Macaca fascicularis: one gene and its partners. The protein of the gene in region 3 purifies or fractionates together with the protein of the main gene of each other region. This does not show direct contact. Links are inferred from orthologs where the notes say so. Each region holds a gene or a part of one and is shown on either strand. Other genes may lie near its edges. The genes, in order: WWOX, signal transducer and activator of transcription 5A and ERBB4.

Region 1 (10,521 bases), on a different chromosome or scaffold from region 3:
AACCTGTAGTATCCTTTGTTCCAAAGACATAATACCTTGTTGTTCCCCGTATTCTATTACCAATCAATTTTGGTTTGAATAACTCAGGTAATTGGAATATGCCCGTACACCATGCAGACCAGGTCAAAAACTCTTAGACGGAGCCTGTTGTCTCTTATCCCTGAATACCAAAATAGCCACAGTCTTTTGCTGAGTGTTCAGCTTTGGGAGACTTCAAGGTCAGCCCCTACACAGGCTTCCACGACAACATTAGCATTTAAAAAGAGGTGGTGATGTTAATGAAATGATAGCTGAAAAGGATAAAACTCATGTTTAAATCAGAGAACCACTATACAAAATTCCATTATAGTGAGATCTAAGTGGATTTCATTATAGCAGTCCCAAAGATAAATAAATAAGTGAACAGCCTACCTATTCCTGAATTAGCTCCAGTGACCACAACCACTTTGCCAGTGAAATCCCGGCCCTGGAGAATTTCCATGGCAGTGGTGCTGCCGTCGTATCTCTGCTGGGTGGTTGGCTTTGTTGGATTATCATCCACTGTAAATGCCAGTCTTGGGTCTACGTAGGTGGTTCTTTTGTTGATATGGCTGCCCAGAAAAGGAGCAAGCAGTGAACCCACAGCAACGAACACAGGCATTTATAAATATAACACAATCTTACACTTTAGGCAAACCCCAGTTTTCATAGCCCAAAACGCTTATTCCTTAAACCTGAAAAGAACTGGGGCCCACTGAAAATAACTTCCGGCCTCCAGAAGGATCACATTTCTGCCAAAAAACATAGTCATCAAATCCTTTCCTTCAGAACTGCCTAGAACATATGCTGTAACATACAATAACTATTGCCATGTATCCTTAGATCTCAAAAAAGGCTTCTTGAGAAGGCTTTGGGTTTTTATCAAATTCATGTAAATGCAGCTGTTAAGATCTGCCAGCCACTCTTTTCAGTAGATTTCAATTAAATCTCTCAGCCCTGTGCAAGGGCCTAAAGACGTAGAGAAGTAGAAAACTCAAAATGGAAGTCTTAGTTGTAAATAAGAAACCTGCTGACTAATAAAATTCTAACGATTTTCATTTGAAGGCTCTGCACTCATACCTTCTACGAGCACTCATTTTGATTTGGAACTGATTTAAATCTTGTAGAAACAGTATTAAAATATACTGGAGGCTGGGCACAGTGGCTCACACCTGTAATCTCAGCAATTTGGGAGGCCAAGGCAAGAGAATCACTTGAGCCCTGGAGTTCAAGACCAGCCTGGGCAACATAGTGAGACTTCGTCTCTACAAAAACTAAACAAAATTTTGAGTGTGACAGCACATGCCTGTAGTCCCAGCTACTCGGGAGGCTGAGGTGGGAGGATGATCACGTGAGCCCTTGCTTACTCCTCTAGATTAGACCAGAAGCTGGCCAAATCTGGCCCACTGCCTGTTTTTGTAAATAAAGTTTTATTGGAACACAACAATGGCCATCACTGGTATATTGTGTATAGCTGCTTTAGCAATACAAAGGCAGAGTTGAATCACTGCAACAGAAACCCTATGGCCTCCAAATCCTAAAACATATTATCTAGCCCTTTACTGACAAAGTAGACAGCCCCTGCTCTAGCGAGGTGGCTCTCAAGCTAGGGAGCATCAGAATCCCCTGAAGGCCTTATTAGAGCGCAGACTGCCAGCCCCACCCCAGTGCTGGTTCAGTAGGTCTGGGGTGGGGGCCCGGGAAGGTACATTTTTAATGAATTCCCAGGTGATATTAATGCTGCTGGTCCAGGAACCATGCCTGAGAACTGCTGCTCTTGGTTGATTAATACCCATTTCAGGGAGTAACTTTCCAAGCGTGAACGCAAAGGCACACAGCGCACAGGAGAAAACTGATCTGACTACATAATTTAAGACATTCGGCCAGGTGTGGTGGCTCATGCCTGTAATCCCAATGCTTTGAGAAGTCAAAGCAGGAGGATCACTGGAGGCCAGAAGTTCAAGACCAGCCTAGGCAACATACTGAGCCTCAGTCTCTACAAAAAAAGGTATTTAAAAATTAGTTGGGCACAGTGGTATGGGCCTCCTCAGGAGGCTGAGGCAGGAGGCTCACTTGAGTCCAGGAGGTTGAGGCCGCAGCAAGCTGTTACTGTCACTGTACGTCAGCCCTGGATAACACAGCAAGACCCAGTTTGAAAACAAAAAAAAACAAAACACACACACACACACACACACAAAAGAAAGCTTGGGAAAAAAAAACGTTTCCAACATATAACCAATGCGTTGATATCCTCAATTAACTGAGGGGGAAAAAACTTTCACAAGTTAGGGGAAAAGCCTTTTAACAAATAACAGGCACTCCCACCTATCCAACTGCTAGGCAGCCTTGTCCTGGGGCTGCCTATGGCGGCCTGAGAGACTTCTCTCAAGCAAGCCTTGGCCCATTTGCTCTCAATATTAGTTGTGCACCAAAAGTTCACCAGGTTTGCTCAAAAAACACGTATGTCATTTGAACTTGTTACTGTAACTACATTATTTAGCAAGCTAGCATTACAGGAACTGATAACATGGGAGGTGAAAAACAGTGTCACTGGTTATCTATGAAAATGTGGTTGAATGCTTTGGAGAGCCTCAAAGACAAGCAGCTAAAAAAAATTTGTGGTTTAATCAACTGCAGTGAAAATGCTAGGAAAAAACCATAAAAGTCCCAGATGATGTAGCAATCAGATTCTTTGAAAATACTGTGTTTGCTCAACCCTAAGGTGAAAGTAGAAATTGTAGATGTTATGTTACAGGTGTGCTTGGGGAAGGAAGACAACACTGGATCCTTGCAGCGAACTCAAACTCAAAGAGCAGGGCTGGCCCAACCCCTAAATGTTGGTGTACTTGAATCAAAACACTAAAACGTTTATGTTACATTCATAACTCAAAAAAACAAAAAATCCTGCTTAAATCAACTTCTATTAACCAACCAATCCTAATCCTGTCAAAGACTATTCAAGCTTCTAATTTAAATGTCAGCAGTCGTGAAACATTCATTCCCCTCTTAACTACAGTGGTCAAGAATACAGTCCCTGGAGCAGGTGCTGGGCTCAAAGCCTGGCTGTGCTACTTCTTTACTGTAGAATCCTTACCAAGTCACCTACCCCCTCAAGTCTGTGTCACTGGCAGTAAGCCAGCGATAATAACAATACTACGTCTCAGGGCACCGTGGGGATCGAATGACCTAATGCTACAGACACAAGATGATTAGAATCAGGCCTGGCTCAGCTGTATGTTGGACAGGCGGTTACTATTGCTGCGTGATACTGGAATTTATCCTGAAGACACAATCAGAGAGGTGAAAAAGTCTTACAGATAAGGATGTTCACTCAACACATTATTTATAATTATAGGTTCTCAATAAAAGGAATTTAGCATTAATGTCCAATAGGCAATTTGATAAATTATATCTGTACAAAATAATAACTCTAGAGCTGCTAAATAGCATCTTTTTGAAAAACACAAAAGGATACAAGAAAATGTTCACAATATATTATGTGGAAAAAGCAGGTTACTAAACAGCCCACACAGTGCAATCTTTTTTTTTTTTTTTTTGAGATGGAGTCTCATCCTGTCGTCCAGGCTGGAGCGCAGTGGCACAATCTCAACTCACTGCAACCTCTGCCTCCCAGGTTCAAGTGATTCTCCTGCCTCACCCTCCCAAGTAGGTGGGACTACAGGCGCGTGCCACCACACCCAGCTAGCTAATTTTTGTATTTTTAGTAGAGATGAGGTTTCGCCATGTTGGCCAGAATGGTCTCGATCTCTTGACCTCGTGATCCATCCACTTCGGCCTCCCAAAGTGCTGGGATTACAGGCATGAGCCGCTGTATCAAGCCTCTTTACTTTTTTTTTAAGGACGCATGTGCATGGAAAATAGAAGAATAAATCCAGAGATGTTAAAAGTAGTTACTTCTGCTAAGATGACAGATTCATACTATTATACTTTGTATTTTTCTACAGTTACTATTAGTTTTATAATTAAAAATGCCTATTAAAAAGCAAAATAGCTGAGAGTGGTTTCTTTGTAGATACTTACTCAACAAAAAACACTTGTCCGTTCTCATCAGTTTCTTGTTCCCATCCGTATGGCAAATCTGAAACACAAGAAAGACAGGTCTACAGGTGCCAGGGAGAAGTAAAGACCGTTCCCGGGTCAGGAAGGGGAGGAGCCCTCCAGGCTCCGCCCCCAAGCCTGTCCCTCCCACCCAACAGCTGTCACATCAACTGGCTTCGGTCACATGTTCCAATTGTGGCAGCTGCAGAAGGCCCCTAATCCCACCTGGGCTCCACATTTTTGCCTCTTGCTTTGAAGAAAACCTATTTTATGCCTCTTCACTCTATAAACCTTACTGATTGCACCAATGAATGGGAAGTCTCCCTTGAATGAGAGCTCACAGAACATATCTACATGCAGGGCAGGCACTCAATGTCATTCATATGCTGACTTGTGATGCCTCGTATGATATTAGAGGGCACTGCCATTTTTTCTCATGTGTACACACTGACACTTCAACTAGACCTTAAACCTCTTAAGGGTAGGAACTTTCTCATACTTTTTTTTGAGACGAGGTCTCACTATGTTGTCCAGGCTCATCTCAAATTCCCGGGCATAAGTGATCCTCCCATCTCTGCCTCTGAAACTGCTGGGATCATAGGCACAAGTCACCTTGCTTGGCCCCTTCTTATACTTCTATTCCGTGGATCACACACTAGCTCAGAATCACCTAGAAGTCATGGTAATCTTTACGAAATTCCCAAATACTTACCTATTTAATTCCATACTACAGCCAAGAACAAATTTATAAACACTGTAACTACAGGAAAACATCATACACTGTGAATCAAAGGCCTCAATTATTTTGATGGTGTTTTCTGTTGTTTTTGCTATTTTTCAGACAGCATCTCACTCTATCACTGAGGCTGGAGCGCAGTGGTATGATCTTGGCTCACTGAAACCTCCGCCTCCTGGGTTTGAGAGCGTCCTATTCCTCAGCCTCCGAAGTAGCTGGAATTACAGGTGCGCGCTACCATACCCAGCTAATTTTTGTATTTTTAGAAGAGATGCGGTTTCAACATATTGGCCAGGCTGGTCTCAAACTCCTGACCTCAGGTGATCCACCCGCCTCGGCCTCCCAAAGTGCTGGGATTACAGGCATGAGCCACCATGTCCGGCCATTTTGGTACTTTAAGACCAGTACGAAATCATCCTCACTCCACCCTACGATCTCATCTTCTTCTTCTGCCAAATCCCATAAGCTCCTCAGAATGGGAGTTCGGTTTTCTCTACCAGAGAGCCCTCCCAAAAACACACCATAACCTGTCACCTCTCTGCCGGTGACATTTTCCCCATCTACTTCATGCTTCAATCCAAGATCCTTTGACAACAACATACAAACCTCCTGCCACTCGTTTTCTTTTTCCAGTTTTTGGATGTTCCCACTGAGTCTTCTCCTCGGTGTGACTGTTAAAAAAAAAAAAAAAAAAAAAAAAATCCACAGTAATAAATAAAAATTAACTCTTCTAAAAAGTAATCAATTGTATTACCTTTTTTTCTCTCCCAGATAATACTCTCTCTTAAGAGTAATAAAAACAGACATTCAGAGACGGCATGGGCAGAATATAAATGTCACTGTTTATATCACAAATTCCTCAAGTTAGAAGCAGCAGCAGCCCTGTAGAAATTTCCCGACAGCCTGCCTTTAGAAGCCAGATATAAGGAGGAAGTGAGGGAAGAAGAAGAAAGAGGACTGTGACCCCAGCTATGGGGTCAACTTTAGGAGGCTTGCTGAATCACTCAAAGTATCTAGAGGCAGTTGGGCGCGGTGGCTCACGCTGTAATCCCAGCACTTTGGGAGCCCTAGGGGAGCAGATCACGAGGTCAGGAGATCGAGACCATCCTGGCCAACATGGTGAAACCTCATCTCTACCAAAAATACAAAAATTAGGTGGGCATAGTGGCACACACCTGTAGTCCCAGCTACTTGGGAGGTTGAGGCAGGCGAATCACTTGAACCAGGGAGGCAGAGGTTGCAGTGAGCCTAGATCACACCGCTGCACTCCAGCCTGGTGACGACAGAGCAAGACTCTGTCTCAAATAAATAAATAAATAAATAAATAAATCTAGAGACATTTTGCTCTGTATTTGTTTTAGTTTTATTCCAGGATGTAGTGACAAAATTCGTAATATCTAATGTATATAATCTCTTAAAATATTTACTTATTTATTTGTATTTCTTTTTAAAGAATCAGGGTCTCACTATGTTGCCCAGGCAGGACTGGAACTCCTGGACTCAAGTGACCCTCCTATTTCAGCCTCTTCAGTGGCTGGGACTAGAAGCCACTTGTCCAGCTAAAATGTTTACTCTTTCTGCAGATGTAACTTCAAAGTGTTTCATTAAGCACTGGTTCCTAACTGGTCCCAAGAGGTAGTTAAGAGATGGAGTAAGACAGCCCCATAAGTCACCTAGCTGTGCGCTGTGCATCTTTGGTCAAGTGACCCCATGCCTTAATCCCCATTCCCTCATCTGCAAAATGGAAATAATCCTAGCACTCATCTTGGGGGCTGCTATGTAACAATATTGTATACCCAGGGTTTCGCATAGCACCTGGCATACAAAAAGCTCTGGGAAATGTAAGCTGTTACTGTGAACAAATCAGTTACATAAACTAGTCTGATTTTTGCGTCAAACTTAACATTTCATCTCAGACCACCACCCAAAGTTATAATTAAAATAGTAGGCCAATAACTAGAAACACGTGTCACCAGGTAAGAAGGAATCCAGGAAAACATACAATTACTTCATCAGGGAAAAAGCCAGGTGCTACAAGAGGCATTCAAAGGGTAGCCTGGGTTCCCTAAAAGTTTACCTACTCAAGCCAACACAGACAGTTATATTTTTAAATCAGCAACATCTAGGTGATAGGACATGAACATTCTTTCCCTGTCAATTACTTTAAAGAAAATAAATACAGAGAGCATGAATTTTCTAAAAAAAATTCTACAACTTGCAGGCAAGGTCTTTTTATGAACTGCTGGCTTCTGGTCTGTCTTGACAAAGTCTTGGCAGCTGGGTCCCTGTCATGGTGCAGGAACGCCTCACTCAGCATGCTAAAGACTGAGCAACCCGTGCTAGCTGAGTCCAGGCAGTGTCCTCAGCGCTGCCGCCTCACAGAGCTGCTGAGAAGGTGAGACACGCGACACCTGTGACAGTGCTTGGAGAATTAAATCCTTGTACCAGCTACGGTATCAGTAGCAAAGACAAACTCCTACTTTGTACATCAACCACCATCCCATAGCACTTGCAAAAAAAGCAGCTCTATGGCCGGGTACGGTGACTCACGCCTGTAATCCCAGCACTTCGGGAGGGTAAGGCAGGCGGATCACCCAAGGTCGAGAGTCCACGATCAGCCTGACCAACATGGAGAAACCGTGTCTCTACTAAAAATACAAAATTAGCCGGGTGTGGGGGCGCATGCTTGTAATCCCAGCTACTCGGTAGGCTGAGGCAGGAGAATCGCTTGCACTCGGGAGGCGGAGACCGCGCCATTGCACTACAGCCTGGGCAACAAGAGAAAACTCCATCTCAAAAAAAAAAGCAGCTCTGACTCTCTGGTAAGGATCATCCACTCTCCGCTGGCACAGAGGGAATACTGGCATACCAACTCCTGCTTCTCCTTCCCAAGCGACGGGAACAGCAATCAGATACACCAAGCATTGGCAACAACGCGAAACCTTCCTGCCCCTTGCAGAGCTGTCTCACGCTTTTTCAAGAAAGTTAAGAGACGGAGTTGCATTTTCCTTGCCTGCCATTAAAAGTAGTCTTCATCTCATAGGCACACATCAAACGCGCTTGAAGCCTGGCTCCAAAAAACTCTACCCTCAACAATCCACAAAGTGGCTGGGCGTGGTGGCTCACGCCTGTAATCCCAGCATTGTGGGAGGCCGAGGCGGACGGACCACTTGAGGCTAGGATTTCAAGACAGCCTGGTCAACATGGCAAAAGCCCATCTCTACTAAAAATACAAAAATTAGACAGACATGGTAGCACACGCCTGTAATCGCAGCTACTTGAGTGGCTGAGGCATGAGAATTTCCTGAACATGGGAAGTGGAGGTTGCAGTGAGCCAAAATCACACCACTGCAGTCCAGCCTGGGTGGAAAAGCAAGACTCAACGTAAAAAAAAAAAAAAAAAAATCCATGAAATGACCCTTAACAGTGGAAGCTGAGCCTTGACAGTAGGCAGGCTGGCGCAGAAAGAGCCTCCCGGCCCTTAGTAGGTGAAGCTGGGCCCTCAGACATGTAGCTGCATGCCTGGCCCACAGCAGGTGCGCAAATGTAAACATACAGAATGAATACTTTCCAAAGGAGCTACAAAACTCACTCAGAATATTTATTTATTTATTCAGAAAGACGTTTAGAAAACAAAACAAACTCTGTCAACCTATGTTCTTGACTTTCACAGAACATGCCTAAACCAGGGTTTCTTGTCCTCACTGCTGGTGACACTTGAGGCTGAATCTTTTTTTTTTTTTTTTTTTGAGACACGGTCTCACTCTGTCGCCCAGGCTGGAGTACAGTGGTGCAATCTCAATTCACCGCAACCTCTGCCTCCCAAGTTCAAGCAATTCTCCTGCCTCAGCCTGAGTAGCTAGGATTTCAGGCACCTGCCACCATGCCTGGATAATTTTTGTATTTTTAGCAGAGATGGGGTTTCATCATGTTGGCCAGGCAGGTCTCGAACTCCTGACCTCAACTGATCCACCTGCCTCAGCGTCCCAAAGTGTGGGGAATCCAGGCATGTGCCACTGCACCCAGATCACATCATTCTCTGTTGTGGGGTTGTCTTGGGCACCACTGGCCTCTGCCCATCAGATGCCAATACCCCAGTACCATAGCTGTGGCAACAGAAAGCGTCTCCAGACACTGCCAACCGTCCCCTGCAGAACACAACCATCCCTAGGGAAGAACTCAGAACCAGCTGAAGCAGAGACAGTAATTTGGTTGGTCGTGAAGATTCTGGAGCCTGACTGCCCGTTTTCTGGGTCTCCCATTTGCCAGCCACTCTGCCCTTGAAGAAGTCATTTAATCCCATGCCTCAGTTTCCTCATCAGTTTAGATGGGGACAATAACAGCACCTACTTCTTGAGGTTATAGAGTTAACACAGGAAGAACTAAGAACTGTACCTTTCAGCAGAAGACTTATTTTTCATAAATATAAAAATTAATTAAAAGGTGTTCTTTTTAATTATAACCTTAAATGACTTTTTAATGAAGAGAAAATTAGAACACATGTCCCCTAAGTGTTCTCCTATTCTCCTTTAAATAAAAGGCAATTTTGATTTTTTATTTTTTCAATAAGCTTGCCATTTAAAGAGATGATTAATAGTAACCTAAACTTAAACCAAAGGATTCAAAATTAAGTGAACATCATATTACGTGAATACCACACTTCCACATATCGGGTGTTTTCTGTTATTTATTTATTTTTTTTTTAAACAGGGTCTCATTCTGTGGCCCAGGCTAGAGTACAGTGACACAACCATAGCCCACTGCAGCCTCGAGCTTCTGGGCTCAAGCAATCCTCCCACCTTGGCCTCCCACCACATCCCGCCTACAGGGTGTGTGTCTGTGTTCTGAACACAGTGTAAGTTAACAAGGAGATCTAGAGTTGACGGTGAGGACAGCCAGCCCTGTGGACGCAGGAGACATGGAGGCCTCTGACTGCCAAAAGGCCTGAGCTTCATAAGGAGGACAGGGAAGGGCAAACAAGGACGGCTCTGACACTGAGACCTTGTCCCTCCCTCCCCATGTCCCACGAAGGGGCTGCTCTGAGACTGTTAGGGGAGAGGGGTAGAAGAAAGGTCCCACCAGCACTCTCAGGTCTCTGGCCTCCCCCGACCCCATCCCTGGGAGCCCAGCCTGGTGGGCTTTGGAGCCCTAAGACGCGTGTGCCTCTGAGACATACAAGTGAACCATGGGGCAGGTGGGAAAGCAGGAGAGGCCAACAGCAGCCACACAAGACCAGGCTCCACCAGACCCCGAGGTCTCAGTGGGAGCTACAGCCTCTCTCCCTGGCCGTGGCCCTGCTACACGAGGGGCAACAGTATGGAAAAGAAATGACTCCAAAAGCAGCCTCCTAGAAAGCACATCCGCAAAGTCTCCCCAACCCCAAGAGAAAAACCAGTGTCACTTCCAGAGTCAGGAAGGAAAAGGGGTTGGAACGAGCACAAAAATGTAAACAGAAAAGGGCCAGGATGCTCACAGATCAGGGGAGATCAAGGGAAGGTGGGGTTGGGACGCATCAGAGGCATCCTAACCTAACACCCAAAGAACTTCAGCCTTTCTGCCCTGACACCCAGAGAACTGAGGGCTGGCGGGGATGGACAGAAGGTCCAGAGAGATGAGTCCTCCAGCTGGGAGCCAGCCAAGCCCTGGCATCTCAGCTGGTGTAAACAATAAATAGCTAATGCATGCGGGGCCGAATGCCTAGGTGATGG
Region 2 (10,521 bases), on a different chromosome or scaffold from region 3:
GAAAATAATCCGGCCGGGCGCGGTGGCTCAAGCCTGTAATCCCAGCACTTTGGGAGGCCGAGGCGGGCGGATCACAAGGTCAGGAGATCGAGACCACAGTGAAACCCCGTCTCTACTAAAAATACAAAAAATTAGCCGGGCGCGGTGGCGGGCGCCTGTAGTCCCAGCTACTCAGGAGGCTGAGGCAGGAGAATGGCGGGAACCCGGGAGGCGGAGCTTGCAGTGAGCCGAGATCGCACCACTGCACTCCAGCCTGGGCAACAGCGTGAGACTCCGTCTCAAAAAAAAAAAAAAAAAAAAAAAAAGAAAATAATCCAGGCTGGATGGGGCCTCCAAAGTCATCCCCTCATTTTATAGGTGGGGAAACTGAGGCACAGAGAATGGATGGGTCTTCAAAAATTAGTGAGGAAAGAGGCAGAAGCAGGGCCAGAGCCATAGGCGTGGTGGCTCACGCCTGTAATCCCAGCACTTTGGGAGGCCAAGGTGGGCGGATCACCTGAGGTCAGGAGTTCGAGACCAGTCTGGCCAACATGGTGAAACCCCGTCTCTACTAAAAATACAAAAATTAGCCCAGCATAGTGGTGGACGCCTATAATTCCAGCTACTCAGGAGGCTGAGGCACAAGAAGCACTTGAATCCAGAAGGCAGAGGTTGCAGTAAGCACTCCAGCCTGGGTGACAGAGTGAGACTCTGTCTGTGAAAAAAAAAGAGAAAATTAGCAAACACATCTAGGCCCAGAACCCAAGGATCCCGACTCCCAGCCCTGGGGCCCTCCGTCATCTCACTCTGGCTTCATCACTGAGCACAATTCCTATAGCCCCTGCCTGCATTTCCTGAGGCTAGGGGCCCCCATCTCTCCTGGTTGTAGGAGAGGGTAGTTGGGGGTGGAGAGTGGGGTGCTAGACCAGGCAGTAACCTGTGAGGCAGAGGAGCGACAGACCCCCGTAGGCCCTGGTGGACGGCTGGTGGCCGGGCCCCTACCCTGTTGAACTGGGACCAGGACACGGACAGGCCGCTGTAGTCCTCCAGGTGGCTGCTGCTGTTGTTGAACAGTTTCTGCGCCAGGAACACAAGGTTCTCCTTGGTCAGGCCCCGGTTGCTCTGCACTTCGGCCTTGAATTTCATGTTGAGCGCCTCACACAGCTGTGGCCACAGCACTTTGTCAGGCACGGCAAATGGCACCCTGCCCTGAGAGGGAGAGAAGAGAGGGGAAAAGGTAGATTAAGGGAGTTGGAAATGTTCACACACACACGAGATACACAGACACTAAGAGACAGGGGAGACTGAGACAGATCCAGAAAGGTGACACAAATGCAAGGGTAAGAAATGCGGTGGCTTTTATACACTAGCTTGCGCTGCAACCCCAGCCTGCAGGGAAGAAAGCTGATGCAGGGGGTGGGGGCACAGAGGACAGACAGCAAGGACCCAAGCCATCTGCCAAAGGAGGATCCCAGACCAGGATCCAAAGACCAAACTCACAGACCTCACAGACCCCAGTCCAGGAACTTGGAACCCAGACAGAGTACCAAGGCCATGGCCGAAGGCAGGCGCCCAGCACCCCAGCCCTTCTGGCCTCACCTCACCTCTGGGCTGGCCCTGGGGTGGGGCTGACCCCAGGCAAGTCCTAGGGCCCGGGGGGTGGGGGGGCTGGGGTAGGGCTCCCACGGGAACTCACCGGCTCAGCAAAGGCGTTGTCCCACAGCACGGTGGCCGTGGCATTGTGGTCCTGGCTGCCATGGACGATGACGACCACAGGTAGAGAGAGAGTCTACAGGAGTCAGAGGAACCCAAGTTGATGGGGCGTGACCACCATGTGCCCTCTGCTTAAGCAATGTGCTCCATCTTTTTTTTTAATGCTTTTTTTTTTTTTTTTTATCCATTGTTTCACTCTTGTTGCCCAGGCTGGAGTGCAATGGTGCAGTCTCGGCTCACCACAACCTCTGCCTCCCAGGTTCAAGCGATTCTCCTGCCTCAGCTTCTCATGTAGCTGGGATTACAGGCATGCGTCACCACACCTGGCTAATTTTGTATCTTTAGTACAGACAGGGTTTTTCCATGTTGGTCTGGCTGGTCTTAAACCCCCGACCTCAGGTGATCCACCTGCCTTGGCATCCCAAAGTGCTGGGATTACAGGCATGAGCCACCACGTGTGGCCGCAATCCACTTTATTTTTTCTTGAGACAGGGTGTCGCTCTGTCATCCAGACTGGAGGGCAATGGTGCAATCACAGCTCACTGCAGCCTTGACCTCCTGGGCTCAAGGGATCCTCCTGCCTCAGCCTCCAGAATAGCTGGAACTATAGGTGCATGCCACCATGCCTGACTTTTTTTTTTTTTTTTTTTTTTTTTTGTAGATACAGGTTCTCACTATGCTGCCCAGGCTAATCTTGAACTCCTGGACTCAAGCAATCCTCCCTCTTCTGCCTCCCAAAATGCTGGAATTACAGGTGAGAGCCACCACACCTGGTCCCAACCCACTTTCCTCACCCACAGTTCCAAACACAAACCCCTCCCAACAAAACGTAGGCACAAGCAAACAAACAAAAACTACAACCAATTCTTCTTAGGCCATTGCCTAAATTGTCTGGGTTAGTCCCAGATTATAACCTAGCAAACAGGTACCCACAGAGTCAAAGCAGGCTGTCCGGTGGCAATGCAGCCAGGAGTCCCAAGGCAGGCCCCTCCACCTCCTGGGTGAACTGCAGCAGTTGGGGCAGGAGGGCTGGGGGCCTCACCTTCACTTGGAACACAAGCTCATTGCTGCCAACACTGAACTGAGACTCAAACAGGACTGTGAACTTCTCCTCTGTCACGGACTCTGCACCCCGCCGGTCAGCACGCTTGATCCTCTTCAGTGACTGCAGGGTGGGAGGTGACAGGGGAACAGGGAGACTGCGGCTGCTTACAAGGACTCGGCTCTGGGCAGACCTGCCCTCTGAGGGTGGGCCCTGTCCTCACCATGTTCCTGAAGTGGGCGCTGAGGGTGCCCGTGGCTTGGTGGTACTCCATCACGCAGCAGTTGTTCAGGATCTCACCACTGCACTCGCTGCAATGGAGAGGGGAGTCCCAGCTCTACACAGGCCCCAGGCCAGGAGCATGGTCCTGTCCACACCTTGGGCTGGGGTCTTCACTCAGTTCAGCCCTGCCCCCATCCCCCAAGAGTGTTTCTTGGCATCTTTCTGGGTTGACTTCTCCATCAACCTGGTGCCCAGCACCCAAGGCAAGGTCTCCAATGGTGAGGTCTGGATCTATTATTAGAAATTCCTCAGATACAAAGATTGATGTGAGGGGCTTTGGGGACTTCCAGTAGCTTCTAATGCACTTAAGATAAAAACCACAACCACAGTCTATGAGTATCCTTATGTTTAACACCTACCCACCTCCCTGGCCTCACTGAACTCCTCTCCCCTCACTCAGGACACGCAAGCCCCATTGGCCCTGGCTGTCTGCTGAACATGCCAGGCTTGGACATTGGCCCTTGCTCTTCCTGTCACCCCAAACACTCTTAGCCTTCTCCTCCTTCAGGTCTCAGCCCAGATAGCTCCCCAGAAAGGCCTTCCTGGACCACTTATCTGGTGAAGCTTACCAGGCTGACCTTCCCTCACCCCCGCCTTTAACACATCTCCAATGCTAGCAGATTGCTCTTTCTTCTCTTTTTGGAGACAGAGCTTTGCTCTTTTTGCCCGGGCTGGAGTGCAATGGTGCAATCTCGGCTCACTGCAACCTCCACCTCCCAGGTTCAAGTGATTCTACTGCCTCAGCCTCCCAAATAGCTGGGATTACAGGCACGTGCAACCACACCTGGCTAATTTTTGTATTTTTAGTTGAGATTGGGTTTTGCCACGTTACCCACGCTGGTTTCGAACTCCTGACCTCAAATGATCCTCCCACCTTGGCCTCCCAAAGTGCTGGGATTACAGGCGTGAGCCACCGCGCCCAGCCTAGATTGCTCTGTCTTAACTTCTTTTCCACTGTCTTGTCATTGGGTTGGCCCTGCCTGATCTTTTAAAGTGTATTTTCATCAGTCTCCCCAGCTGCAGTGCAAGCTCAAAGGCAGTGAGATCATTTGTCTTCATCTTCACCCCAGATCACATGGTAGGAAATCAGTAAAGTTTTTTTGTTTTTGTTTTTTTGTTTTGTTTTGAGACAGAGTCTTGCTCTTGTTGCCCAGGCTGGAGTGCAATGGTACGATCTTGGCTCACTGCAACCTCCACTTCCTGGGTTCGAGCAATTCTCCTACCTCAGCCTCCCAAGTAGCTAGGATTACAGGCGTCCACCACCACGCTGGGCTAATTTTTATATTTTTAGTAGAGACGGGGTTTCACCATGTTGGTCAGGCAGGTTATGAACTCCTGACCTCATGATCTGCCCGCCTCGGCCTCCCAAAGTGCTGGAATTACAGGCATGAGCCACTGTGCCCGGCCTTCTTTTTTTTGAAACAGAGCCTCGCTTTGTCGCTCAGGCTGGAGTGCAGTGGCACAATCTTGGCTCATTGCCACCTCTGCCTCCTGGGTTCAAGTGATTTTCTTGCCTCAGAGTAGTTGGTAGTTGGGACTAGAGGTCCAAGTAGCTGGAGCTACAGGTGTATGTCACCAAGCCCGGCTAATTTTTGTATTTTAGTAGAGACAGGGTTCACCATGTCTAGTTGGCCAGGCTGGTCTCGAACTCCAGGCCTCAAGTGATCTACCCGCCTCCACTTCCCAAAGTGCTGGGATTATAGGCGTGAGTCACCTCGCCCAGCCTCAGTAAACATTTTTAACTGGATGACAGGGGATGGGGCCATGTCTTCCACATCACTCATTCACTCACTCATTCATTCACCCCCTGCATATGTTGTGGGTGGCCTGCCCTGACACTGGACACTACCTCCCCACTCTGCCACACACAGCCTCTCTGTACTCTTCCCTCAGGACGCGGCACATGGGCTCTGCCTGAAAGTCCTCTCTCTCTGCTACTTCCCTCCCTATCACTAGCTACCTCTAATTCCACCAGGAGCCTAAGACTGTCATTTCTTTACTCCTGCATCAAGACCCCCTTTCTCAGTGCCCTACACGTCCCCCTGCCACATGGCTACACCATCAGGCATTTCCCAGCATCTGTTGCCTGCTCTGCTGGTCAAGGCGCTGAGCAAGGAGACAGCCCAATTCTGTTGGGATCACAGTTTCGTCCTCGGTGCGTAGCACAGGTTCTAGAACACAGCTGCAACACCATACTTTGTGTGATTTTCTTCGAGACAGGGTCTCACTCTGTTGCCCAGGCTAGAATGCCATGGCGCAATCATACCTCACTGTAGTATCAAATTCCCAGGCTCAAGCGATCCTACCACCTCAGCCTCCTGAACAGCTGGGACTACAGGTGCGTGCACCACCATGCCCAGCTAATTTTAAAATTTTTTGTAGAGATAAGGGTCTCCCTGTGTTGTCCAATTCAAACTTTTGGGCTCAAGTGATCCTCCCACCTTGGCCTCCCAAAGTGCTGGGATTACAGGGGTGAGCCACCGCATCTAGACTAGCACCATGCTTGTTGCAGGAACCGGGATGGTCTCTGAGTAGGAGGAGGGCAGTGTACCATCTGTCCAGATTTAATGATGGTTTGACATGATTGAATTTACAATGGTGTGAAGCAACACACTTTCAGGAGAAAGTGGTATAACAGTCTCTCACAATGCTGGGCAGTGGCAGTGAGCCTCAGCTCTCTGGCAGCCACGCCATCCCCAGGGTAAAGAACTGATACTCGGCTGGGCGTGGTGGCTCACGCCTGTCAACGCAGCACTTTGGGAGGCTGAGATGGGAAGACTGCATGAGTCCAGGAGTTCGAGACCAGCCTGGGCAACATGGTAAACTAGGGGACAAGACATGGCTGGATGCAAGGACAAAGAGAGGGGGTGCAGGTCCCCCACACCTAAGTCTGGGCAGGGGAAGGGAGAGGCACAATTACTTGCGGGTGTTCTCGTTCTTGAGCAGAGACTTGGCCTGCTGCTCACTGATGATGGTGGCCTTCACCTGGGGCGGGTTCATGTGCACGTTCAGCTTCCCGCCCACCAGCAGGCGCACAGTGGCTGCAAACTTGGTCTGGGTCTTCAGGACCTGAGGAGGCTGCTTCTCAATGATGAATGTGCTGCAGGGGACACAGGGACAGACGTACGATGAGGGGTTGGCGCAGGGGAAAGGGCTCTCAGTCCTCCTGTGGTGGGGGTGGGTCTGCCTCCCGCGGGGCTCAGGAGGTGAAAAGCACGGGCACAGCCTCTGTTCCTGGGGAAGCCATGAGATTCCAGGGAAAGGATGGAAAGGGGAGTGACATAACACAGCAGCTGGCATGGGCTGCGGCCCAAGGGCATCTCTTGCAGTGTCCACAGGAGAAACCGGGCAAGGGCGGCACCCAGCAGCCACAGCAACTGGAGACGGAGTGGGGAGGGATGACAGGCACAAAGCGAATCTGCTGGTCTGGAAGGCACCTGCGGCCCCCCACACGCAGTCTGGAGCTGCCCCAAGCTCCTGGGCATGGCCAACAGGCAGCAGTCACCTGGTCACCAGGGCTGAGATGATGTCCGTGATGGTGGCGTTGACCTCAGCCAGCATCTTCTCCACTGGGCCAGGGATGGGCAGCTGCTGGCAGAGGTGCTCAGCCCTGCGGATCTGCTGCCGGTTCTGCCAGATGATCTCAGCCAACTTCTCACACCTGCACGGGAGCCCCAAGGCCAACAGGAGGACAATGGCTTCTTCGCACAGACGCCAGGCCCCAAGACACAGTTCCCCCTCCCGCAGGAAGGCTCTGTGCTTTCACCACACCTCCCACCCATGGGAAGAGCAGAGCTCCCTGCCTCCCAGAATTAGAAATGTACACAGGAGGGGCGACCCTGACTAGGCCCAAACAGCCCGAGCATCACCCCACACCCCCGAGCTCTCTCCCACCCCCAGGACAGCAGCCCCCTTCCTGGGGGAGGTGCACAGGATGGGGGACCAAAGTCTGATTCAGGAACCAGGCCCCCTGGAGAAACTAGAGCTGTCCCAGGATGGAGGGGGCCTGCTGCAGGAGCCAGCACAGGAGGCAGAAGCAGCCAGGGTCCCCACCAGCCCCCCCTGCCCTGCCCTCTGGCCGCCCCACACCATTACCAGGACTGTAGCACGTCCAGGCTGCCCTCGGGGGGCCCGCCGTTCCCCGCCAGCTGCTGCCGCCGCTTCCACTGGATCAGCTCGTCATCTAGGATGATGGTCTGCTGCTTCCGCAGCAGCTGCAGGGTCTTCTGGTGCTTCTCGGCCAGCTCCTGAGGGAAGGGAGGACAGCAGCCCCTTCTGGGCTCCCAGAGAACACTGCGGGGCCTCGCTGGGAAATGGCAGGGCAGGTCCGAGCTGCTCTGCCTCGCATGGCCCCCAGGAAAAAATGCTTCCTGCCTCCCCAGGTTCTGCTCTCATCTGGGTCCTAACCCTCCCTTGGGTCGCCAGAGACTGACTTCATGGCACCCACGCCCAGGAGAAGGCCAGGACCCCACTCACCACGCGGTACTGCTGCAGCGTCTGTGCCTCGCGCTGCAGCCACGTCTCCAGGGACACCTGCTTCTGCCGGAGGGCCGTCTCCCGGCTCAGACGCTCCTGGGGGCTCAGCTGGGCCAGTGGGCCAAACTGAGCTAGAGGAAGGGATAGGAAACCATGACTATCACCTCCCAGTGTCCAACAGGAGGCCCAGGGAAGCGCACTCACCCGTTCTGGAGCGAGACCCTCCCAGGCTCAGATACTGCATCAAGGGCAAGTCGGAGTTCCTGACAGACAGCGGGGGCAAGATGAATGGGCGCCTCAGGAGGTGCCTCTGGGCCCTGCTCCCTGGCCTCCTGACTCTGAGCGTCCCCTCTGGGGGCACACGGGTGCTGGGGCAGCTGGGGAAGAGGCCCGCCTGTCTCCTGCCTGCCTGCCACACAGAGCTGCCAGCCCTCTTCTCACAGCCCGGCATGGGTCTAGGCTGTCTGGGGTGCAAGTGTGCCCTTGACTGTGGGTGAACCTGGGCAAATCACTTTCCTTTCTGTGCTTCGGCTCCCCCACGTGTAAAACAGGAGAATCTCAGTACCTGCCTCAGTGGGGCGCTTGAAGATTAAATACATGAGGACATGGAAGATGCCAGAAAGCTTCCTGGCATGGGTGAGCTCTGTGTGAGGTTCGTCCTTCTTGGTTAATGGGGAACAGGACAGAGAGAAGAGGTGACAAGACAAGCAGTTGCTCGGCCCCATCCCTCCCGCAGCAAGGCCTCCTCAGGGGCCCCCGGCCCCGGCCACTCTGTCTCGTTCCTGAGCACAGCAGTCCGCCCTCAGGGGAGGATGAGATTCTCGAGGGGCCGGAAGGGGCCCGGCATGTTTGTCCAGGTTGGCTCACTGTGAGCCCAGCCGACCAACCAGGGGAGACAGACAGACAGACAGCAGAGGAGAGCATGTCCAGGGCCACTGGGGATGCAGAGCCACCAAGATTCTCTCAGGAAAGGGAGGCCGGAGGGAGGTGGCTTTTCTCCACACCATCTGTGAGGAGTCATTGATGGTGGGACAGGGAGTAAGTCAGGCCTCACTACCTTTTAAAAAGTATCCATTGGCCGGGCGCGGTGGCTCACGCCTGTAATCCCAGCACTTTGGGAAGCCGAGACAGGCGGATCACGAGGTCAGGAGATCGAGACCATCCTGGCTAACACGGTGAAACCCCGTCTCTACTAAAAAATACAACAAAGTAGCCGGGTGAGGTGGCGGGCGCCTGTAGTCCCAGCTACTCGGGAGGCTGAGGCAGGAGAATGGTGTAAACCTGGGAGGCGGAGCTTGCAGTGAGCTGAGATCCGGCCACTGCACCCCAGCCTGGGCGGCAGAGCAAGACTCCGTCTCAAAAAAAAAAAAAAAAAAAGTATCCATCATGGGGCCGGGAGCGGTGGCTCACGCCTGTAATCCCAGCACTTTGGGAGGCCGAGGCGGGCAGATCACGAGGTCAGGAGATTGAGACCATCCTGGCTAACATGGTGAAACCCCGTCTCTACTAAAAATACAAAAAATTACCCGGTGTGGTGGCGGGCACCTGTAGCCCCAGCTACTAGGGAGGCTGAGGCAGGAGAATGGTGTGAACCCGGGAGGTGGAGCTTGCAGTGAGCTGAGATCGGGCCACTGCACTCCAGCCTGGGCGACACAAGCGAGACTCTGTCTCAAAAAAAAAAAGTATCCATCATGTGGCCAGGTGTGGTGGCTCAAGCATGTAATCCCAGCACTTTGGGAGGCTGAGGCAGGCGATCACTTGAGGTCAAGAGTTCGAGACCAGCCTGGCCAACATGGCAAGACCCTGTCTCTACTAAAAATACAAAAATTAGCTGGGCATGGTGGCACATGCCTGTAATCCCAACTACTTAGGAGGCCCAGGCAGGAGAATTGCTTGAACCTGGGGGGTAAAGGTTGCAGTGAGCCGAGAGCACCACTGCATTCCAGCCAAGGAGAAGCAAGACTGCATCTCAAAAAAAAAAAAAAAACAAAAAGTATCCATTATGAAATATGTAAGACACAGGGAACATGGAACACAGGAGCACCTGTGTATCAATAACCCAGCCTAAGAAACTAGACATGTCCACAGTTACAGCCACCACCAGCAGGCCCACCCCACCCTCCCAACAACAGCCCCTCTCCACCACCCTGGGACTATTAATCCCTTCCCATCTCCTTCTCAACAGCCCAGCGTCCTTGCTTGAGCTGAGTCAGAAGATGCATCGCATGTCTCAGTCGAGCTCCTGGCTGGCCCCTGAGGGTCATGTCACCCTGACCCCAGCCCTGCCCCATGGGATGCACAAGCTGGGACAGACAAAAGCAACTCTATGTAGCCACGAACAGCCCAGAGCTAGAACTCAGAAATATGGCTCCAATCTCACTGCAGGTATCGAGCAGGAAGAGGATCATCCAGGCACGGACAGATCCGAGGCGTCTGCACGGCTACCACGGGAATCCTGCCCAGCCACAGGGAGGGTGGTGGTGATCCCAACACCTGGGCCCAGCCTTCCTATGCAAAGGACCCACTTAGGTCTCTCCTGGAAATTTGCAGAAGCTTTTGGGAAGGAGGCCAGGGAGACAGGAAGCAATTTCCCTACTCCACTGGAGGTAGCTGAGCCTTCCCTGGCAAAAGCGGATCAACAGTCTGTGTTTCTGCTGAGTGAACTTGACAAATGGGACTGAGAAGACACTGCATGATGGATCCAAACCTAATCCACCACCACACACAGGAAGCAGAAAAGTCAGGCACGGGATCAGAAATACTGTCGCCAGTCTAAGGACTTGGGTAGGAATAACAGCCCCAAATCTTCCGTTTCCATTCTCAGAAGGAGCTGCCCTTCTTCTGGGGTCAGTCTGGGATAGATTCAGATGAGCGGAAGTTCTCTTAGAATTATCCTGCCAGGGCTGGGCGCGGTGGCTCACGCCTGTAATCCCAGCACTTTGGGAGGCTGAGGCGGGCGGATCACGAGGTCAGGAGATCAAGACCATCCTGGCTAACACGGTGAAACCCCGTCTCTACAAAAAATGCAA
Region 3 (10,521 bases):
GCATGTGCTTAGAGTAACAAAATACTCACCAAATAAGCATGTTCATGCTGTGTCACAATGAGACACTGGCAAGAAAGGGTTTACATGGTAGACTGCAATGGTGATAGACAATGGAAGAGAAATAATAAGCTTGATGATAAAACAAAGTGATTTCAGTGGAAATGAAAATATGTTTCTCTGTCTTTCTCCTGAGCTTTATTTTGGATCACCAAACACAATGACAGGATAGACATAACGTTCTTTTGCATGGCTCTGAATTTAGTTAGGAAAGTTAATTGTTTTAAAGTACTATGTATTTCAAGTGGCTACAGGATGCAACTCCCAAGACATACTTTGAAGTCAGTGAGTGGAATTCTGTCAACTTATTTTACAAGAGTCCTGAATCTCTAAAATTAACTGTATAAAATATCTGTGGTCTGTTGGGCTTCATGTTAACATTCCGGAATTCATTTCATTCCCGGTAACATAGAAGTGTTCTCAGTAAAGGTTTGGACTGACCCCGTTATTGTGTGCTTGCCCTGAATTTTGAGTCTTTCTCAATAAAGGCAGAATATTTGATTATATGACCTGAGCTGTTCTATACACTGCTTTTCATCAAAGAACAAATGTTGAAAGCTCATTCTTGTACTGCAGAGCTGATATTTCCTCTGTATACAAAATTCTTTGCACATTAAAAAGTGAAGGCAACAGTTTTCCTACATGATACACTTCATTTTTGGCTTCATATTCATCGAAAGCATAGTTATTTGTTCCATATATCTTTGCTTGTAAATAGAGAAAGTTTGCTAGAACGTTTAATTGAGACTTTAAGCTTTTGTGAGATATTAATATGACATTGAGAAAATTTTAATCAATAGTTTATGTGTGAATTATAGGGAAACACATTTTTAGTGTTTCTCCAACCTCAGCAATATCCAGTATTTGAGCCTAGTATAAAGTACTCCATGTTAAACTAGCAGTACATTGTATTGATTGCACTTCTTGGTTTGAAACAGTAATTTAATCAAGCAAATTTTTTTAAAGATGTGGAATGGTTTGCAGTAGAGAAGAATATGCTGATGAACCAAGTTCAGAAAGGCAGTATAAGGTGGTTCCAGAGATCAAGTTGCTGGAACTGATACTCTTTTCAAGACTTGAATGCTGGCATGAATAAATGCCAATGGATTCAGACACAAATCCTCAGGACATAGGCCATATGCCTATCTGTTTGTCAGGCGATTATGGAGCATGTTGATTGATAGCCCTATTAAGGCTACTTAGAGTGGATCACTAGTGGTTATTCACCCTACCGAAAAGGAATGTTCTCAGAGACCGGTAAAAGAAGAGATATCTACAGTAAGAATAAAATTTGTTTGACTGCTACAGGTAGATACATACTTCTAAAAAAGCCTAAGATCACTGTTCTTAGAAGTTTTGACCTATCTTGAAGAAGCAGCCAATGGATAAAATTTAATCTCTCTGTAAATGATATATGTTAATATGAGGTGTCTACCTAGGATAGCACGAAATGTCTTTTAATGTAATAAAATTTTAAAACTTACTGTGGATTTCTTAAAAATAAAAAACAAAACTGGAAGTCTTACTTGAATTCATATACATGGAAGCGAATAGTTCCTGTGTTATAAACGTGAATATGAATAAGCTAGATAGGAACAAGATGGTTCTAAGTAATCTGTATGAAGAGATACTTTTGGACAATGTCATAAATATTATGAAAATTCATGAGTAGATAAATGTAGAGCTACAGAAGAAAAAAATGTCAATTTTATCTGTGCTTGTTTCTATCCTTCTTATGAATTCCAGGTACTATTAGCAATGTATACTTCTTTGAGGAGCAGAAATACCAGTTGTTCTCACTATAATATAATTTATTTCTAGACTATATATATTCTTCCAAATCAATAATAAACTTTTAAAACAAAGCAATGTCAAGTGGTTCATACATGAACTTGCTATCTTTGAGAATTTCATCAGAATAGTTCAATCTGAATAATCTTATAGATCTAGAATAGGCTTTGATGAAAATCTCATATTTTGTGACATCAAAAATGTCCACAAAACACCTACTATTCCTCCTCCACATCTAGCACAGATTAATTTAGACATGCATTGATAACGCCCCTATTGCTAATTAAAATTAAATTAGAATAAAATAACTACTGTCACATTTCTCATATTTTCACTCCTTTATTAAAATTTAAATTTGGCTATGTTTCTTCTTGATTTTCTAGGGACCCTTACAATGCAATTGAAGCCATAGACCCAGAGAAACTGAATGTCTTTCGGACAGTCAGAGAGATAACAGGTAATTTTTTAAACTGCAACTGTTGTGCTATGAACAACGTAATTTTAAAAAAAAATTGCATAAGATTGGCTGGGCACAGTGGCTCACTCCTGTAATCCCAGCACTTTGAGAAGTCAAGGCGGGTGGATCACGAGATCAGGAGATTGAGACCATCCTGGCCAACATGGTGAAACCCTGTCTCTACTAAAAATACAAAAATTAGCTGGGTGTGGTGGTGCGTGCCTGTAATCCCAGCCACTCAGGAGGCTGAGGCAGGAAAATTGCTTGAACCCAGGAGGTGGAGATTGCAGTGAGCCAAGATCACGCCGCTGCACTCCACCCTGGCAATAGAGTGAGACTCCATCACAAAATAACAACAAAAAAGAAAACAAAACAGAAAAAGTTACATAAGATTGGAATCAGCAACTAATTTTCAAAGCAGATTTTAGTTTGTAAAAACTCGTATTATTTTTAAAGATGGTATTAGCTTTTATGCATATTTTGAAAGCCCATGGAATTACAAAATGAGTGTCTTTGAAAGTCTGACATTACAACTCTTGCAAGTGTCAACTGATCTTTGAACCCATGTTTTTCTGTTTACTTCTTCAAAAGAAGTACTCTTGAACATGGATAACATGTAGCATTTATTTAGCACATATATATTAAGCCTGTAATGTGTTCAACATTGTCTTAGTGGGTAATATGGGGCCCATAGATATGAATCAGACATGGACTTACCGTAAAATAATGCAAAATCTAATGAGAAAGGTTAGATACGTATATAAATGTCTTAGAATATAAGGGTGACACTGATATCGTAAGTATACAGATGAAGAGGTAAAAGATTTCGGAGAAATTGAAACTATATTTTTCTCTTCATCTAGTTAGACTACATTCTTGCATTTATAAGAATAAATCAAATTGAGTCATTGAAACCTTTCAACATATAAAGTTTTACCGGGTAAGAGACTCAATCTTGGAAGAATACATACGTAATAGAGTGCTTCAAAAATAGAAATGTTCACTACTCCTTTCTCACTTCCCACCTTTCAACATGTTTTCACCATATTTCAAGAAAAATCAGCACTAATACTAAGACAATGATATTCTGATTTATTTTTACTACTCTTCACTTGTAGGTTTCCTGAACATACAGTCATGGCCGCCAAACATGACTGATTTCAGTGTTTTTTCTAACCTAGTGACCATTGGTGGAAGAGTACTCTATAGGTAAGTGGATATGTTTAAAGTTGCAGGTCTCACAGATTTCAAGAGGAGCATCGTCTGGGCATTAAGTCAAAACCATCACTCTTATTGATTTACTGATTCTGGGGAAATCATGCTTCCATCCTTATTTCCAAAGATAAGCTCATTGAAAATACCTCCAATGATGGTATGAAGTATTACAGAATACATAGTTTGATTTTTTCAATTGTCTGTCACTCAAAATAATATTAGTATTTTGCAAGTATGGGGTGCAAGATATGAACAATTAATGAAACTTTCTTTTTTATCAGATGTTATCATAACTAAAAGATAAGAGTTGTGTGACTTGGTAATGGCTCGGGTGTATAGGATACACATGCTGTTGTGCCAGGAGATTCTGTTCTTGTCTCTGGTGCTATAATTTGAACTACACATCACAGGGCTGATGTTTTAGGAACAGGTCCGCCATTCTACATGTTCTGCTGGTTAATAAATGGACAAGAAAATTCAGGTTTAGAAGGACATTGATAAAATTATAATGTCAATAATTTAAATTCACATTATAAGAGTAAATAACAGGTTTCTTCAATGTCATCTGTATGACGTTCTTATTTATGAGCAATTAAAAGTCAATTTACATAAGAATTTTTAAAATTTGTTTACTTAAGTTCAAAATATCTCCAAAATTAATATCATCATTGATTTTATAATAATGTTTTATAAAAAGTACATTGAATTTCACTATTAAAATTTAAAAGTTATATTTATAAGAGGTTTTAAAAATGTAAAGGAAAAAGGAGCTTAATAAGAAAGGATAGTCAAGAGATACAATCTATTAAAGTGCTATATGTAAACAACTTTTACTATCCATTGAATAAATATTATAAGCCAATCGAGACATTGTGCTAACATTGTAATCAACAACTCAAGATAGTTATGATGGGGACAAAATTTGAGAGAAAGAGCTGCATCTTGGTCTTTATCATTGAGCATACACACACACAAACACACACACACACACACATTCTGACAACCATGGAAGATAAATCTAAATATTAACAGCAAAGAATATTTAAAACTAAAAATAAAAGTGGAAAGCATTGATCTCCAAAATGTAAAATAATATTCATTAACTGATTGAAATATGGGAAGCATGTTTATGCTTTAGAGAATGGAAAAGTAAATAAGTAAAAAAAGAAAATAAGTAAAAAAGTAAATAATTACAATAATGTGGATTATATTAAAATAAAAGTAGTTTCCTTGATTTTTCAATCGTCAGTCACTCAAAGTAATATTAGTATTTTCCAAGCATGGAGTGCATGATGTGAGCAATTCTAAACAGGGTAGTTGTTATTTAACTTTTAGAGACCTTTTCCCCAGATACCCAAGGCATCTGAGTTTGTTTTCTTTTTCTAATTTTAGTTTAGTTTTATTCTTTACTTTTTACCGTCTCCTAACCTTACTTACACATGCCTCAATTATTACAGTTCTGGTGTCTGAGGTATTAAAGTAAAGCTAAATACCTATAATCATTTTCTGAAATTATTTAGACATACTCTGAAAGTATGTCTATATGTCTAAATCTATTACATAAAAAGGAATTAATGTCTTACTTTGAGTAGATGAACGATTGTTTTATAAACACTTCTTTAGTGTTAATACAGGATTTCATCATTGAACAATGTAAAGTTAAGGCTTGGGGTGGGAAGATAGTGAGCAGATATTTCAGTGGTAAATATATACACAGAGATACACTGCCAATATGCATAACTGTAAGCAATGGAAATTTTACTTTGGGAGGTCAAATTGTTACTTTAAAAACTGTATATAGCATGTAAAAACAAATATCATTCAAAACACAGAGTTACTGATTCAGTCTCTATTTACACTCCATTAACATTCTTTTAAAAATAAAATATGACAGCCTTATTTTACTCCAGAATGTGTCTCATGGTTCCATTTTCTCCCTTCCCCCTCCTTAGTGGCCTCTCCTTGCTTATCCTCAAGCAACAGGGCATCACCTCTCTACAGTTCCAGTCCCTGAAGGAAATCAGCGCAGGAAACATCTATATTACTGACAATAGCAACTTGTGTTATTATCATACCATTAACTGGACAACACTCTTCAGCACAATCAACCAAAGAATAGTTATCCGGGACAATAGAAAAGCTGAAAACTGTAGTAAGTACATTACTCAGACATTTAAAACATAGAAACTTAATTTTTTTCCCATTCTTTTTTGGACCAAAAAATTAAAAATAACATCAGGTCAGAATTGTTGCTTTGTTATCCCAACCCTTAAAAAGGAAGGTAGTTATTACAATTGCCAATATGATATAAAATAATCAGAGTAAGTGACTTTCTACAACATATGGCATATTTATTTGCAAGATGTCTTACCTAATCTTAAGAACGCTCCTGTGGAGATTTGAATTCAGTATGTCTAAATGGAACCTGGGTATTTAAATCATTGGCATCCCAGGTAATTTCAAGGATCCAGTCAATGTGTGGAGATCCACCCTATTGAATTCTCTGTTTGTTGTTTGGTTTCAGTGAGTTTCATAACAGAATAACAGAGTTTTGCCATTTAGAGGTGGTGAGAAAAATGAAGTTGTATTTTTCTAACATGTGTAAAAACTACTATTCAAGAAGTACATTGTTCAAGATGTTTTGTTGTTCAGAAAGAAAGTTTACTTTATTAATGCATTTATGTAGACATGTATTTATCATTTTTTCATCTGTTTTGCTACTTATTGATTCATTTAATAATTTCTCATTTACTCTGAAGCAAATAATGCTTTTGTAGGCACATGACTATGCCATTCCTATCTAATGCACTGATATTCCAATGATTTATACTTCATTCTTCCCTGTTTTTCTACTGAATACTACTCTTTCCTACATCCTATGAGTGCCACTATTATGAGTACAATCATCAGACTTATTATGGTAAATACTGAATAAAAAGACTCCGCACTCAAATGATCTGTTTGCAAATGAATATTCTTGTTGTGGGCACAAAATCAATCCGTTCTAAAAGGCAGAACCCTAGAAAATTCTGCTCTCAGAGTATTTTCTTACTTCTTTGATCTCTCCATTAAAACAATCATAAGGGTATACATGAGTAATGATTGAGTTTGTGTGTGTGTGTGTGTGTGTGTGTGTGTGAATAAATAGAAGACTTTTTTAAAAGTTATAAACTCTTAAGAGGCCAACATAATTTGTTTATTGAGTTTTCAGTGAATTAATTGATTTATTAAGATCCCATCTTGTTCCAGAAATAATTTAAGACAGCTCAGTCTACTAATCTTCATAAAATATAATTTATGATTAATTCTCTTATATTTTAGCTCTTTTCGATCCTTAAAAATATTTCGAAATGAAGGAGATCTATCCCAATATGAGATTCCTGCTAAGAGTGAACTTAAGTTCTTACTCATTCTTCTGTTCCACATAGAATCACGAAATATAAAATCTAATTGTGTATCAAAATATGCATGTTATATTGAATGATATTCATTATTTCATTTGGCCTATGTTATTTCCTTGGTTTTACACATTACTGATTTCTAAAAGAAAATTTGCTTTGCTTTTTCCCTAATGCTTAAGCTTATCCCACATCACAATATGTGTGTGTATATGCCCCAAAGTAGATGATTCATGGCAATAAGATAGATTCTTCTTCAATACCAATTGATAAATGTTTCCCTAAATCAGGGTTATACTCTTGTTTCCTTCGACATCCTTAAAAAAATTAGTACCTCTATCTTTCAAAAATTTAACTATGAATTCAAAATAATGTAAAGAAATATATAAAAGAATCAGAAAAAAACATTCTTCCTCTTTGATGCACTTAATCAGTTTACAAATCCTACAAAAATTCATATTTCATATATCTTTCTATACTTGAAAAGCAAATGGGAAGAAGAAAATGCAAAAAATAAATGTAGGGAAACAAGATGAGAAAAAGGGATATTTCAGTAAATTATATAATGTTATTTTACACTTCTTTAAAACTTCTAAACATTTCAAATGACCAAAAGGGAGTGAACAATAATAATAATGATAATAACTAAAATATAAAATGTGTTTAAACTTTCAGTGTTATGCTTCTTGGATTGAGGTTAACTACTTTTCAGACCATAGACATATTTTTTTTTGTTCTGTGCACAAGAATTACTTTGCAGTTTGGGGAAAAAAATGAAGCAGTTAGGAGAAACATAGTTTTGTGGTGCTATAGTATCAAGCATATCATTTTTCATTTTAAACATATTAGAATAAATATATTTTGCGTGGAATTCATTTATCAAAATTTGGACTTCAGACTCACAGCATACTGGATCCATAAAAATTCCATATGCCTCCATTTTCAGAAATATAATTACCCTGTAAACTTGACCTCAGAGATGCTGCTGATGTTTACGACCCCCAGTACTATTTGTAAATGGGAATGTCTAAATGCTTGCTTCATTTTAAATGCACTGTAAATGTTTCCTTTTTGGATATTCCATCTTGGTATATCATACACACACAAGATGTACATGAGCATACACATATGTTCACTACAACACCTAAACATATATGCATATACAGAGTGGATGTCTGTATGCTGTTCCATATACAACACACATGTATATACACACACCTAGTAAACATATCCATGCATACACACCCTTACTTGCCCACTTACATTTACACACAGTTACCGTGAAATACTCTGACCTAAATCTAAGAGTTGGCTTATGAACTTAATGAAAAGGCAGTCCTTCATTTGTAATGGTGTTTTTTGGAGTTCAGCATGATTTAAAACAGTAATGACAATATAAAAAAAGGTTAACTCATCTATAAAGGCTAACAGTGGCTAGAGCAATCTTACTCTTTTAAGTCAAAAATTTCAAAGCTGATTTGAAGAGATTGAGATTGAGGGAACTCTGGGACATGAAAAGCTAGAATATTTTGGACCTCTGTCATTTATGTGGTTATGATAGTAACCAAATTGCAGTGTTAGGTGGAAGAAGTTTTAGAGTAGATTTATAAAAGCATTTGAAGTTTCTTAAAATATTTAAGCATAAATTTTTAATACTGAAATATAAACAGTGTAGAGATAAATATTACACCAGCCCTTCAGAATCCGAGTTATATTTGAACTTATATATCTCAAGTCTCAAGTCTTTAAAATATTTGTACAGATACTGTTAAACTCAACATGAAATTAAATTCATTATTGATTTTCAAAATAAAAATATTTTTATTTTTCCAATTATAATAGTACCTTTTTCATTATTCAAAATAAAACCAATCAAAAATATATAAAAATATTTTTAAAACTATATTATATATAATTCTTGGTGAATATATTTTTCATATATATAGATAAGGATAGTGAAATATATATTTTCATATATAAATGGGATCATACCATTTCTATTTAAATACCATTCAGTCATCTATGTCTTATACTTAATATAGTATAAGCATTAGTATAAGCATCTCACATTCAATAGATAGAGCTCTTCCTTATTCTTTTTTTTTTTTTTTTTTTTTTTTGAGATGGAGTCTCACTCTTGTTGCCCAGGCTGGAGTGCAATGGCACGATCTTGGCCCACCACAACCTTTGCCTCCCGGGTTCAAGCGATTCTCCTGCCTCAGCCTCCTGAGTAACTGAGATTACAGGCATGCAACACCACACCTGGCTAATTTTGTATTTTAGTTTCTTCATGTTGGTTAGGCTGGTCTCGAACTCCTGACCTCAGCTGGTCCACCCACCTCGGCCTCCCAAAGTGCTGGGATTACAGGTGTAAGCCACCATGCCTGGCCTTCCTCATTCCTTTTTAAAGCTATTTATAGAAGTATTCTGGACCAGTACCATATTAATTGTATTTTAAATTATTTTCCATTTTTATATTATCACTGCTGCCATGATGTGTATCTAGTTTATGAAACATTTTGTAGTGTACAATTATTTCCTGTGGCTAAAACCTTAGATGTAGAATTTCTCTGTAAATGAGGCTACATAAAAATTTTCTCACTAATTTCTCTGTCATCTTCTGAAAATACTAAATCAATTAACCTTGTTGCAAACACTGTGTGATAGTAATATTTTCCACTACTCTTTAAATCACTAGATATTATCTATGGTTTTAAATTTCAGTGATCTAAAGGAAGAAAATAAGTATTTTATATTTACATGATTAATTCATCTTTTTTTATCTTGTAAATTGCTTTATATGTGAACTTTGTTCATTTTTAATTTGGGGGTTGTTCTTTTTCTCCTAAATTTGAAAAAACTATTTACAAATTAAATTTATTAAATTTTGTTCCTTAAATGTGTTGGGAATAAGTTCCTCTCTTACTGGTAATTTGAATAATTTGTCTTTTGATAATCCAATGTTTATCAAACCATATTTTTATATAGTTAAGTGGTTAGATTGTTCTTTTCCTTTTTAATTGTTTGATCTTGTATTTTTAGATAATTCTTTTCATCTAGTACTTTAAAAAAATATTGAAATTTTTAACACATCTTGACGTTTTGGCATAGCGTTTTTTAAAAATTCCTGATTGCGATGTGGATCCAAAATAATTTATTAAACAACCCATCTCTCCTTATTGACTTTAGCTAATCAGCTAACAAATCAGCTAAAAGGTGCCAGACTCTATCTCTCAACCTAGGTATATTGTTTAATTTAGTTATTACAACCACCCTGTAAAGTATAATCATCTGCATTTGCAGATGAGTATACATTTATTAAGACAGTTAAATAATATTTCCAGTTTTGGCGCTACTAAAATCCTATTAAGGACTTCAACCCAATGCCTGTCTGACTTCGAAGTCTAGGCCCTTAATTTAACCGTGATTCCTCTCAAAATAAAGAAAATGTTGGCTGGGCATGGTGGCTCATGCCTGTAATCCCAGCACTTTGGGAGGCAGAGGTGGGCAGATCGCCTGAGGTCAGGAGTTCGAGACCAGCCTGGCCAATATGGTGAAACCCCGTCTCTACTAAAAATACAAAAATTAGCCAGGTGTTGTGAT

What was found.
Region 1: the proteins of ERBB4 (region 3) and WWOX purify together in Homo sapiens (affinity purification with western blotting; 4 studies listed by BioGRID). This does not show direct contact. The link is inferred for Macaca fascicularis from reciprocal best matches to the Homo sapiens genes ERBB4 and WWOX.
Region 2: the proteins of ERBB4 (region 3) and signal transducer and activator of transcription 5A purify together in Homo sapiens (affinity purification with western blotting; 3 studies listed by BioGRID, with this or other methods). This does not show direct contact. The link is inferred for Macaca fascicularis from reciprocal best matches to the Homo sapiens genes ERBB4 and STAT5A.

Annotation. Positions count from the first base shown.
Region 1 is NC_088394.1:74,014,242-74,024,762, reverse strand, and holds part of WWOX (WW domain-containing oxidoreductase), read right to left. Parts: intron 5,485-10,521; coding exon 5,420-5,484; intron 4,118-5,419; coding exon 4,060-4,117; intron 591-4,059; coding exon 412-590; intron 1-411. UniProt on the Homo sapiens protein: Putative oxidoreductase. Acts as a tumor suppressor and plays a role in apoptosis. Required for normal bone development. May function synergistically with p53/TP53 to control genotoxic stress-induced cell death.
Region 2 is NC_088390.1:63,345,606-63,356,126, reverse strand, and holds part of signal transducer and activator of transcription 5A, read right to left. Parts: intron 7,624-10,521; coding exon 7,493-7,623; intron 7,264-7,492; coding exon 7,112-7,263; intron 6,678-7,111; coding exon 6,522-6,677; intron 6,117-6,521; coding exon 5,937-6,116; intron 3,046-5,936; coding exon 2,958-3,045; intron 2,858-2,957; coding exon 2,735-2,857; intron 1,769-2,734; coding exon 1,676-1,768; intron 1,189-1,675; coding exon 982-1,188; intron 695-981; coding exon of another isoform or gene 602-694; exon of another isoform or gene 466-601; intron 1-465. UniProt on the Homo sapiens protein: Carries out a dual function: signal transduction and activation of transcription. Mediates cellular responses to the cytokine KITLG/SCF and other growth factors. Mediates cellular responses to ERBB4.
Region 3 is NC_088386.1:107,515,803-107,526,323, reverse strand, and holds part of ERBB4 (receptor tyrosine-protein kinase erbB-4), read left to right. Parts: intron 1-2,231; coding exon 2,232-2,305; intron 2,306-3,423; coding exon 3,424-3,514; intron 3,515-5,472; coding exon 5,473-5,672; intron 5,673-10,521. UniProt on the Homo sapiens protein: Tyrosine-protein kinase that plays an essential role as cell surface receptor for neuregulins and EGF family members and regulates development of the heart, the central nervous system and the mammary gland, gene transcription, cell proliferation, differentiation, migration and apoptosis.